Cricetulus griseus: one gene and its partner. The protein of the gene in region 1 purifies or fractionates together with the protein of each later gene. This does not show direct contact. Links are inferred from orthologs where the notes say so. Each region holds a gene or a part of one and is shown on either strand. Other genes may lie near its edges.

Region 1 (5,395 bases):
GAATTGGTGTTATATACAAATAGATAAATCATCAGTTGAAGCATTGTGAACCAATGGGTCAGTAAATCTTCCTGCTATCAAAATGGGGTCCTGCAGAAAATGCACTTTTTCATCCTATATTTCCCTAAGCCCATTTGTACCTAGTCCCCAAATCAGGATGGTTTAGCTCACAGTTCTTCACTGTGGGGTGGCGGTTGAAAGTACGCACTTTTACTCACTCTGGTTTTCTCCTTCAGTGTAAGAGTCAAGAGATCACTTGAGTATTTGATGCTTTATTACAAAACAGGCCTTGTACTAAATGGTTTTGCCAAACTGTAAGCTGACCCAAGTGTTCTAAGTATGCTTAAGGTAAGCTAGCCCGAGCTGTGATGTTGAATAGGTTAAGTTTATTAAATGCACCTATTTTAAACTATTATTGTAAGTATTTGTTTATCATTACTATTGTTATGATTATCATCGGTGCATTGTGCATGTAGACGTGTGTGTCTGACTGCTCGTGCACCACGGTACATGTGCGGAGGTCAGAGAACAAGTTTCAGGAGTCAGTTCTCTGCTTCCACCTTCCACCAGGGATCAAAGTCACGTCGTCAGGCTTGCATGAAAAGCATTTTTACTGACTGACACATGGTGCAGCCCTACATCTTGTTCTTTTTTGAGAAGAGAGTCTCATAGGGTGGGCCATCCACTTCTTTTCCAACCATCTAAGAAATAGTCTCTCTACGAATTCTAAGCTAGGTTCCCTTGGCCCTGGGGCAGTGGGGGTAGTATCTGTGGTAAAGTAGATGAGTAGATGGATAACGAGCCATGGGAGCCACGGCCCCTGGTGCAAGGGCCTCTGGTGGCTGTTGCTGGCTGGCCCCATTTTGTCTGTGCTTTCTGGAGGGCTTCTGCTTCCCAGCTTTGTTTTGTCTGGTGTCTCCACCTTTGCCAGAACTATTTCATTTTGTCTGCTGTTTCCCAGAGAAGAAAAACACTGATGCACTTTCCTCTAGTTTTTATTTCGAGTGTTTCCCAAACACCAGTTGCAGGATCTCACAGCAAAAATGAAGATGAGATTCCTGACCTCGGGAAGCTATTTGGCTTCCCCCATCCCCCAGCTAATCTTTCTTCATGCCTAGCATTTTGAAAGATTTGCAGGTGTCTTACATATGACTGTGAGATTGGAACTGTACATTTACAAGGATCTGAACTGAGCATAAGCATGTGGTTCTGGAAGGATTTGTCTGTGTGTGGTGGATATATGTGCTTGTGTGTGTGCATGCCTGCATGTGAGAGTCTAGAGGCCAGGGGTTGATACTGGTGTCTTCTCAATTGGTTGCCTTCTTATAATTTGGTACAGGTGCTCTCACTGAACTCGGAGTTCATTGATTGGCTAGACTGGCTGGCCAGTGAGCCCCAGAGATCTTTCTGTTTCTTTCTCTCTAATGTTGGGATTATAGGTGGCTGCTACATGGGTCCTGAGGATTAGACTCCAGTCCTAGCAAGTACTTTACTGACTGAGCCATCTCCCTGGCTCTGGGTTTGTCCATGTTTACATTCATGCTCCATGCACTTCTCTGTTGTGCACATTTACAGTACCTTTATCCAAAGATTTGAGCATGTGTGGTATTGCATTGTAGTAACACTGGTAAACATTTATAAGCGATCTTACCTATAGGAAATTCTCAGAGGGAGGCAAGATCACTTCCATTTTTCCTAGAAGAAAAACAGGTTTGACAAGAGACTAATTTAGCTGGGGGAGAGGAGTTAGGGATGGAGTTTAGTGGTAGAGCACTTGCCTAGCAAGCTCAAGGCCCTGGCTTTGCTCCCTAGTGTGCACAACTCTCTCTCTCTCTCTCTCTCTCTCTCTCTCTCTCTCTCTCTCTCTCATTAGAAAGGGACTAAGCTGGTATTCAAAACCAGAATCCATTTCACTCCAAGGCTGTACTTTGGCTACTGTGTTCACAGCCCCCTCTTATTAGTGTGCGTTATGGAAAGAAGTTCCTATGTCCTTGTCCTTGTGCTAAAGGCATTCACTCCCTAGGGATTCTGTGTTACCTTCCAGTGCTGTGGCTAATTCATGCCATTAGAGTATCAACTGCTTCAGTTGTTATCTTTGCTCTTTAGGATAGAAGCACCTAGAGACAGCACCCTTCCCAGAACAGACAGAACTTTGCATGGGGAATGTTCATCAGTCAGGAAACCTATTTTAGTTGAAGCCTTGGCTTTCTGTAGAGGCTGGCACTGCTCTCTGCTTTACCTTCTACCCCCAGTCATCTAGACTCTACCTACTCCATCCATCCACCCTCCAAACCATGGATTGGGACAGACAGACAGCCTCTCTGATAGCTGTGCTTTGGCTTCCTCAGCAGGGCGCAGGAATTATTAGGAAAGTATAGTCACAGCTAACAAGCCTAGCTCTGCCTTTTGGGCCCTTTCTAGCATCTATCTTGGGAGCCAATGATTCTTTAGAAATATTAAACAGAGTTTGTTTATTTTCTGGAGAGGTCGGAGGCTGGAAGCTGCAAGTTGCACATCTGAGGTTCCTTTAACCAACATTTAATCGCCTCTTTGAAATACTGGTTGATTACTTTCCTTTGTTGTCTGAGTTTCCTTAGTGTTTAATAACTTGCCATTCTGTCTTTACAGAAACGGATTGCTGAGGGGTCTGGGGAGAGGTTAACAACAATTATCCCAAAAGCAAGAGTATAGAATGTAGGGGCTCCAGTCATTGGTGTTTCCCTTACAGAGGGGGAGGTGTGTTTGTTTCATGGACTCTTGTTTCCCCAGGCTTTGTGGAGCTCAGCCTGTTGGACCAAGTTCGGCTCTTGGAAAGCTGCTGGATGGAGGTGTTAATGGTGGGGCTGATGTGGCGCTCAATCGACCACCCTGGCAAGCTCATCTTTGCTCCAGACCTCGTTCTGGACAGGTGAGAAATAAATACTTTGCATTTCATCTCAGATCTGTTGGACTAAGCAAAGTGAGTGGGAGCCAAGTCCTAGGTGCTGTAATTAAATTCTCACACCTGAAAGGGCAATTAGAGGACTATAACACCATCCACTCCTTCACTGGGTCAAGAGCCCATGGAGAAGAGGGCTTGGGTACCAGGATTCATTTTCCACAATCCCTTCTAATCAATGGTGCACCAACAGTCACAGGCCAGGGAACTGCACCCTGCAGGGTAATGGCCACTGAGTGCACAGTCAACATAGATTTTTGTGTTTTTGCATTAAACATTCTGTTCTCACATTATATTCTTGAGTTGCCCTGCTCTGAGTGATGAGTTGCATCTCTGGACTGGTGATAAAATGCTTATGACCCTTCCAAATTTATTTTCATTGGCTATAGCTTTAATGCCGATAGTATCATTAATCTCTAGTAGCATTTTTGGAACATGTGGTGGGAGGGCTCGTTTCTAAGGCCAAATGAAAGTTAGCAGACATTGGGACATGACAGTGCTTTGGGTCGTGATAGGATGTCACAGAGTGGTTGCACCTAGTTTTCTTTTAAAGATGGCAGAGAGTAGGAACTAAGCTTTGATTTAGCTGAACTGCTTATGGAAGATAAAACTGGAATGTTCAATAACAGTCGAGCTTTGTTATAGGAAAAAATAGAAAATTTTTGGTGTACCTTTGAGAGGTTTGAAAACAATCTCCATGGAAAAAGGACTAGTGTTAAGTGTTCAGCACGTTAGACTGGGCACAAGATCAGGAGGATGCCTGGTGCTGTGAACCTAAAGTGCCCACCCCAACTCTTGCATCATAATCCTGTTACCACTGTAGGTCATCAGAAGACCCTCACTGGCACGTTGCGCAGATGAAGAGTGCTGCCCCAAGGTATCAGCATCCATTCTGCCTGTTGTCATGGATGGCACTGACAGAGAGCACTGCTCTGAGTAATGGAGGTGTTTTGGTGGAGAACAAATCCTGTGGGAAGAGCTGAAGCATGGGATGTGGCTTGAGCAGGAACAAGCCCAAGTGGTGACCGAGAGAGGGAGGCTCTGGAAGGCCAGAGCAGTGGGGCAGGTACCATACCCTCCAGTGACCGTCACATAGCTAACTTATTAGCTGGTGTGTGCCAGGTACCATCTTAAGCACTTGGTGTGTGTCGCCTTCCTTAATCTTTCCAAAAGCCCTTTGGGAGTGAACACCATTCATCATCCCAGGTCTTCAGTTAGGGAAATGGGAAGTGAGGTAACTGATTTACAGGCAGGGTAGTAAGTGATAGTGGAGGTGTGGGCATCTGGTTCTAAAGTCCATACACATAGCACATTACCCCCGTGGGAAAGAGAATCAGAAGGGGAAAGAGAAGGCCAAAGGCAAAGCGACTTCATAATTTATTCTTTTACCTTAGAACATAGCCCCATGACTGGGTCTATTTCTACCCTCTTCAGAAACACACTCCTACTGCACCTCAGGGCTGTCAGTCAAACTGAAAGGCTGGCCAGGCAATTGCCTCACTCATCCATTCTGCTTCACAAACACATATAATAAACATCTACATGTAATTCTACTACGCTAGCTGTTCCACCCGTTGGTGCATAGTGGGGCTAAAAATATTTTACTTTTTGTTTCAGTTTCTGGATGGATGCCAAATCTAGTGTTTCAGTAGCTGAGTCAGTAACTGGAGACCATGTACAGGAGTAAATTTAACTCTCCCCTTCTCTGAGTATGGGTGTGTCACGCCCCCACTCCCACCGCTGACATGTCAGAGCTTCCTCACATGGTGTTTCACGTGAATACAAGCACTAAACACTTTTTTTTTTTTTCCCCGAGACAGGGTTTCTCTGGGGCTTTGGAGGCTGTCCTGGAACTAGCTCTTGGAGACCAGGCTGGTCTCGAACTCACAGAGATCTTCCGCCTCTGCCTCCCGAGTGCTGGGATTAAAGGCGTGCGCCACCAACGCCTGGCGACTAAACACTTTTTATTGTTGTGATTTTGGTTTTTGTTTATTTTTGGTGCTGGATACAAAACCAAAAGAGCCTTGAGTTTGCTAAGTAGACACTTGGCCACTGAGCTAAACCCCCTACCTGTTTCCATTTGTTCTTACTGAGATTTCTACAGAAAACAAAACGAAACAACCTTGAATGTACTGAGGCTGAAGGGAAAACCCAGTGATTTGGGGTTATTTGTAACGAGGTAGTTCTTTTGGCATCCATTAGAAACATAAATTCATGTGAAGATCTAGTGTGGAACCTGAGCTTCTATTTGCCCAAAAATGCATATGTGGCTGGCAAGATGGCTCAGTGGGTAGAGGAGCTTTTCATCAAGACTGTGACCTGAGTTTGATCCCTAAGATCCACACGGTGAAAGGAGAGCACTGACTACACAAAATGATTCTGACCTTTAACTACAACACACACACACACATACACACACACACACACACACACACACACACACACACACACACACAG
Region 2 (5,395 bases), on another chromosome or scaffold:
GGTGGAGATTATTAAGTCTAAAGTAACTTTATTTATTTAATAAATAAATATTTATTAAGCAGGAAAGAAATCAAATACGAGGCTGAATCAAGCCTTTGAAATAGAAATTAATCCATTAAAAGATAAATTGATGGGGCTGGAGAAATGGCTCAGCAGTAAAGAGCTTTGACTGTTCTTGCAGAGGACCTGGGTTTAATTCCCAGCACCCACATGGCAACTCACAACTGTCTTAACAGGATCTGACACCCTCGTACATATATGCATGTAGGCAAAACACTGATATACATTAAATCAAACTTAACTGATTAATCAAAAAACTAATCTCAAAAAGTAAGGGGACGGAGCACTTGAAAAAAAAATCTCTTAAGTAGAAAAAAAAGGAATCAGGTAGAACTTTTCCAAATGAAAAATACATGAATAAAACCTTACTTGTGCATTCTGATTTTATAAATTCTGAATACATGTGATAATTATTAAAAGGTTCCTGTATTATAAGTTTTTAGGAGGTGGGAGAATATCAGAGGTTTATTTTAGTGTTTGACTTCCTAGTAACTAAAAATTCCAAAGAAATTTTCACTGTGTTTATACTAACAAAAATAAAAAGTTGTAGTTTCACAAAATTTATGATACTATAAACTGTTAAGTTTGAAGCTTTATTACTGATGTAATTTTTTTTCCATTAAACCCTGAATTCACAAACAAGGTAAGCATGACATAAGAATGGTACAGTTACAAAAACACAAAACTTTGATTTGTTTCTAAGATAATATATCCATGAACAAAAGTCCAGGATACTTTTACTGTTCTAAAATGAAATGCATTGTAATGCTAGTTTTCTCATATTAATTCTGTGAGAAGGTCTATTTTGGATCAACATTATTACCGAGATAATGTTATGATATTCCCATTAAGGCTTTCCTACTAGCATGTTATTTCAACCCTTTGAAACTGAGTGTCTAGGAGCAATATCATGGTTGTCATTGTAAACACACTTATGACTGCTGCAGGGCAAAGCAACAGTAATCTTCTAAAAACCTAGAAAATTAATAAGATAATACTGTAATATAAAACTAACCAATATAATGTGTCATTACTAGACATAGTTAATATTCATTCTGTTTGTTACATACTCAAGTCTTAACAGCTTGAGTGATCTTCCAAAAAGGTACCTATTTAAATGCCTGCGACTTCACACAAACAAGGGATACCAAAAGGGCCTATCTGTCATTTTTACCAATTATATTAGGGGATCAGGAACCTGTCTTTCAGAATTGAATATTAGTATGGTACAGAGAAGTACGAACAATAACCAGGGCATCTGACTAGAGAAAGACAGTACTGGTAATACTGTTCTGAGAATTGTTCAGAAACACCAGTACATATCATTCTTCCCAAATGTCTTCAAGACATTTGTATCTTAAATACTAAAGAATGTACCATTTTATACATTACCAGAAATAAACCAAAACCATGAGACTTAGATAACCATTTAATTAATCAAACAAACCATTAGACTGTATGAATGTTGGTAATATTAATAGAAGTCTACTTTTACAGATGAGAGCCTTTGAGATTGCTTGTTTGGGAAGCAACACCAACAGATACAGGTCTGAATCACAATACACACAAACTTCTTTGATGAGTAAAATCTTCCTTCTTAAGAATTAAACACCTCACCTAATCACAACAGACTCTCTTGTATAGCCACCATCATATTCTGTAGTTTCTTCTAATGCTTGGAAATCTAGATTCTGAAAATTATAGAAAAAAAAATACACTTTAGCATCTATGTCACACCATTCAAAAGACTAAATTATGAGGTGTTTTTGCAGATGTCTTTCTTACCCGGCTTCCACATATAAGCAATTCAATCTCTTCCGGTCTGAATAAGTACTTTAAGGGAGATTCATTAGTCACCATATGAAAACCTCTGCGAAACGCCTTGAACTGTTTTTCTACTGATTTATTGAGAATGTAGTCGGAATAGAGATTTACAAATTCCTGTAAAACATTAAAAACAAGATTCACCTGCTATACATTCACATACTAAACATTAACATGCTATACAAGTGAACACAAATAGCTATTAGGCTGCATAGCCGCTTTTAGCCCCACCCAAGAGAAATCCTTCAAGAGTACTTTTTAAAAAAAAAAAATTAAAAAAATTATTTTGGAGAGATGGTTCAGTGGTTAAGAGCATTATCAACTCTTATAGAGAATCTAACCTCAATTCCCAGCACTAGCATGGCATCTAACAACCACCTGTAATTTCGCTTCCAGGAAACTAAATACCCTCATGCCTCCATGGGCATTATATGCAAACAATCCACCAACATATATACAGGCAAAACACTCATGCATATAAGACAAACCTAAGTCTCTAAAAAATATGTTAGATGTTGTATGGACAAAGAAAAATACTTTCACAATTCCTCACTTCTGACATATTAATATATAAGTAAACATGAGTTATACATATAGATTATGATTCTGAGAATTAAATAGGAATTAAAATAAAATTTTATAATAGTAAAAATTAATATAAAAACAGAGACACAACACAACATTTCAAAGTCCTTTAAACAAGTATGCAAATATAAATATATGAATATTGAATTTGAGCAAACCAGAACATCTCATGTTTTCTACTAGAGATATTGTAAACTACCTACTATGTCCAGTTCTGCAAAAACACTATTTGTTGGTAAGCTAAGCTACTGCATCAAATTACAAATATGTATTCTGTATCTTGACATATTTTATCAAAAATATGTAATATCAAAAATATAGTTATATAAACTTACACATTTCTTAAAAATTATACTATTTATTGTAATTTTCTTATTCTGTCCTTATTTCCTATTCCCAAATGAATATATTTTCAAGTTATTAGAAACCAAATCTAATGAAAAGAATAATTTTAATATGTATAATCAGATTTCAAATTAAATAGGATCTTAATCACTGGGCCCTGTTTACCTTAAGGGTTGAATATGGTAATGCCCTGTTTCAGGTATTTTACTATTATATTTACCCATTCATTTTCTCCTAGTATATGTACTCTTTCTCTAAAGAGGGATTAGCAATTAATGTGTACACTTACATCAGCTTTTATCTAATAGTTAGCAAAATATACCTTTACTATTTATATGAATTTATTTATAATGTTTTTGTTACTGCTTCAAACTGTATTAAATAATTCTTTGAAAACTCTAAGAATACTGCTTTGAAATTACATATTTACAAAACAATGACAGAAAAATTTTATTACCTTCCTGTTTTCATTTGTAATTGGAATTTTATCACCATTTTCCTTTAGATCATACATCATTGGGTTACCAAAAAGATCTGTCTGTGATATCTGGAAAGTGATCATCATATCATCTTCCACATTCCCTTCATATTCCAATAAGTCCTTTAAACTCTGATATAAAACCTAACAACCAGAAAGAGAAGTGAGGCTACCAAATAACTTGTAAAACACATTTTAAACAGAGAGAGAGAGAGAGAGAGAGAGAGAGAGAGAGAGAGAGAGAGAGAGAGTGTGTGTGTGTGTGTGTAAGAGCTTGTTTTATTCCTTTTAGAAGCAATTTGTCAATAAATAATGAAGCCAAAATTATTTCCCCATCTCCCAAGTAGTTTAATAAGACATAAAAGACTGTAACTGAGCCAGGAAGTGGTGGCATTTCCCTTTAGTCCCTGCACTTTGGGGGGCAGAGGCAGGCTGATCTTGATGGGTTCAAGGCCAGCCTGGTCTATAGACTGAGTTGTGGGAGAGTCAGAGTTACACAGAGGGGGAAGAAAAAGCAAAAAAACAAACAAACAGACAAAAAAAAGAAAAAAAGAAAAAGGTCACTGATACTGTATCAAACTTTGCAGCTGTATCTATCAAGGAGAAGGAGGCAATGCTCATTTACCAGGCAGACTTACAAGTTTATATTGAAAAGAGAATGTTTACAAATTTCACTATATAGTCAATCAAAAGTTGCTTGATGCAATCTATAAAAACAACACTCTTTAAAAATTTAAGTGTTCATTATACTTAAAACAGATTAAAAAATTTTTTACCACATTGGGTAGCAGTAGGTATTGACAAAAGATTCCAAACAAAAAGATATTTTTATATAAATTAAGATGTATTTCTGTATTTAGATAGTATCTCAGAGACTATTTAAAGAATGACAAAGAACTTACTGGGTGAGAATCTCCCAAGTCACGAAAGGTTCCTTTTTTCCCCATTAGCTTCCTGTAGACAACCATGGGAAAGTGGACATCCAGTATACAGTTATTGTAAATAGCCAGACCGAGGACTATGCCAATCAGAGTAAACTGACCCTCGGTTTCAAAGGAAGATGGATTAAACCAAAATAATTTTGTGGCTTCATCATATGTGAACATACCTATAAAAAATAAGTTTTAAAATAATTTGTATTTTTGAAAATCTAAAAATTTAAAAATAATTTTAAACAAAATAAGACAAAAGAATTTTAATATAGTAGATATGTTTTTGCTATTGCATGCATGTGAGAAAACTGTACAAATATAGTAACTGATTATCATTAAGTGTATTAACTAGTGGTATACAACTCTAAGAAGCCAACAAAACAAAATATGAAATTTGGGTGACATTCCTGGAAAGGTATTTTTAAAAAGTTTTATTAGGTTATTCAAGGCTTATCAATTTTCATTGACTAATGAAAGGTTAATTTACAGTCATATTTTAGCCACTCAGATGACTGAAAAGTACATAAGAAGCAAACTCATGATCAAGTACAAGAATTAGATAAAGTTGATTAACTTCCAGTTACTTAAGATACATAGCTAATGTGAGCTAATAGTTTTAAAAACCAAATTTGTAATATTTCATCTTTACATAATCACCATTATTCAAGATCTAACTTCAAAGACATTTTTTCATATCATTATTTCATCTAAGGGAGCAGAAATAGATTTGTCTTCTTTTTTCACTGAACATTAAATACAAAAATATTTTAAATAAATCCATATGCGTTTTAATTTTTCTAAATTCATTTTCAGTTGCCTCTCAGGAAACACTTGTAAATTAAGGTTTAATATGCTGGGGGAGAGGGGATTGCACACCTTAGCACTTGGAAGAATGAGGCAGGTGGGTCATGAGTTTAAGGCCAGAATGCACGAATACAATATAAAAAGACTGTCCACAAAACCAAAACCAAGAACAAAGTAAACAAATCAAAGAAGGCTTGGGCAAAGAAACTTTTAACCTAATGGAACATTTCTCAAAACCAAATAAAACAGCATTAAAATGTGCTTCTAAGTTCATTTTGAAAAGATTTAAAACTTTTCATTTTCAGTTTTAATGAAAAGAAAAATACAATTTTCTCTTTGACCTCTATACTTCTTTTTGCAATTTAAT

The links.
Region 2: the proteins of Esr2 (region 1) and Ube3a purify together in Homo sapiens (affinity purification with western blotting; 4 studies listed by BioGRID). This does not show direct contact. The link is inferred for Cricetulus griseus from reciprocal best matches to the Homo sapiens genes ESR2 and UBE3A.

The regions. Positions count from the first base shown.
Region 1 is NC_048598.1:127,340,280-127,345,674, forward strand, and holds part of Esr2 (estrogen receptor beta), read left to right. Parts: intron 1-2,769; coding exon 2,770-2,908; intron 2,909-3,761; coding exon 3,762-3,815; intron 3,816-5,395.
Region 2 is NC_048596.1:138,672,924-138,678,318, forward strand, and holds part of Ube3a (ubiquitin-protein ligase E3A), read right to left. Parts: intron 4,401-5,395; coding exon 4,195-4,400; intron 3,437-4,194; coding exon 3,272-3,436; intron 2,002-3,271; coding exon 1,846-2,001; intron 1,759-1,845; coding exon of another isoform or gene 1,752-1,758; coding exon 1,678-1,751; intron 1-1,677. UniProt on the Homo sapiens protein: E3 ubiquitin-protein ligase which accepts ubiquitin from an E2 ubiquitin-conjugating enzyme in the form of a thioester and transfers it to its substrates.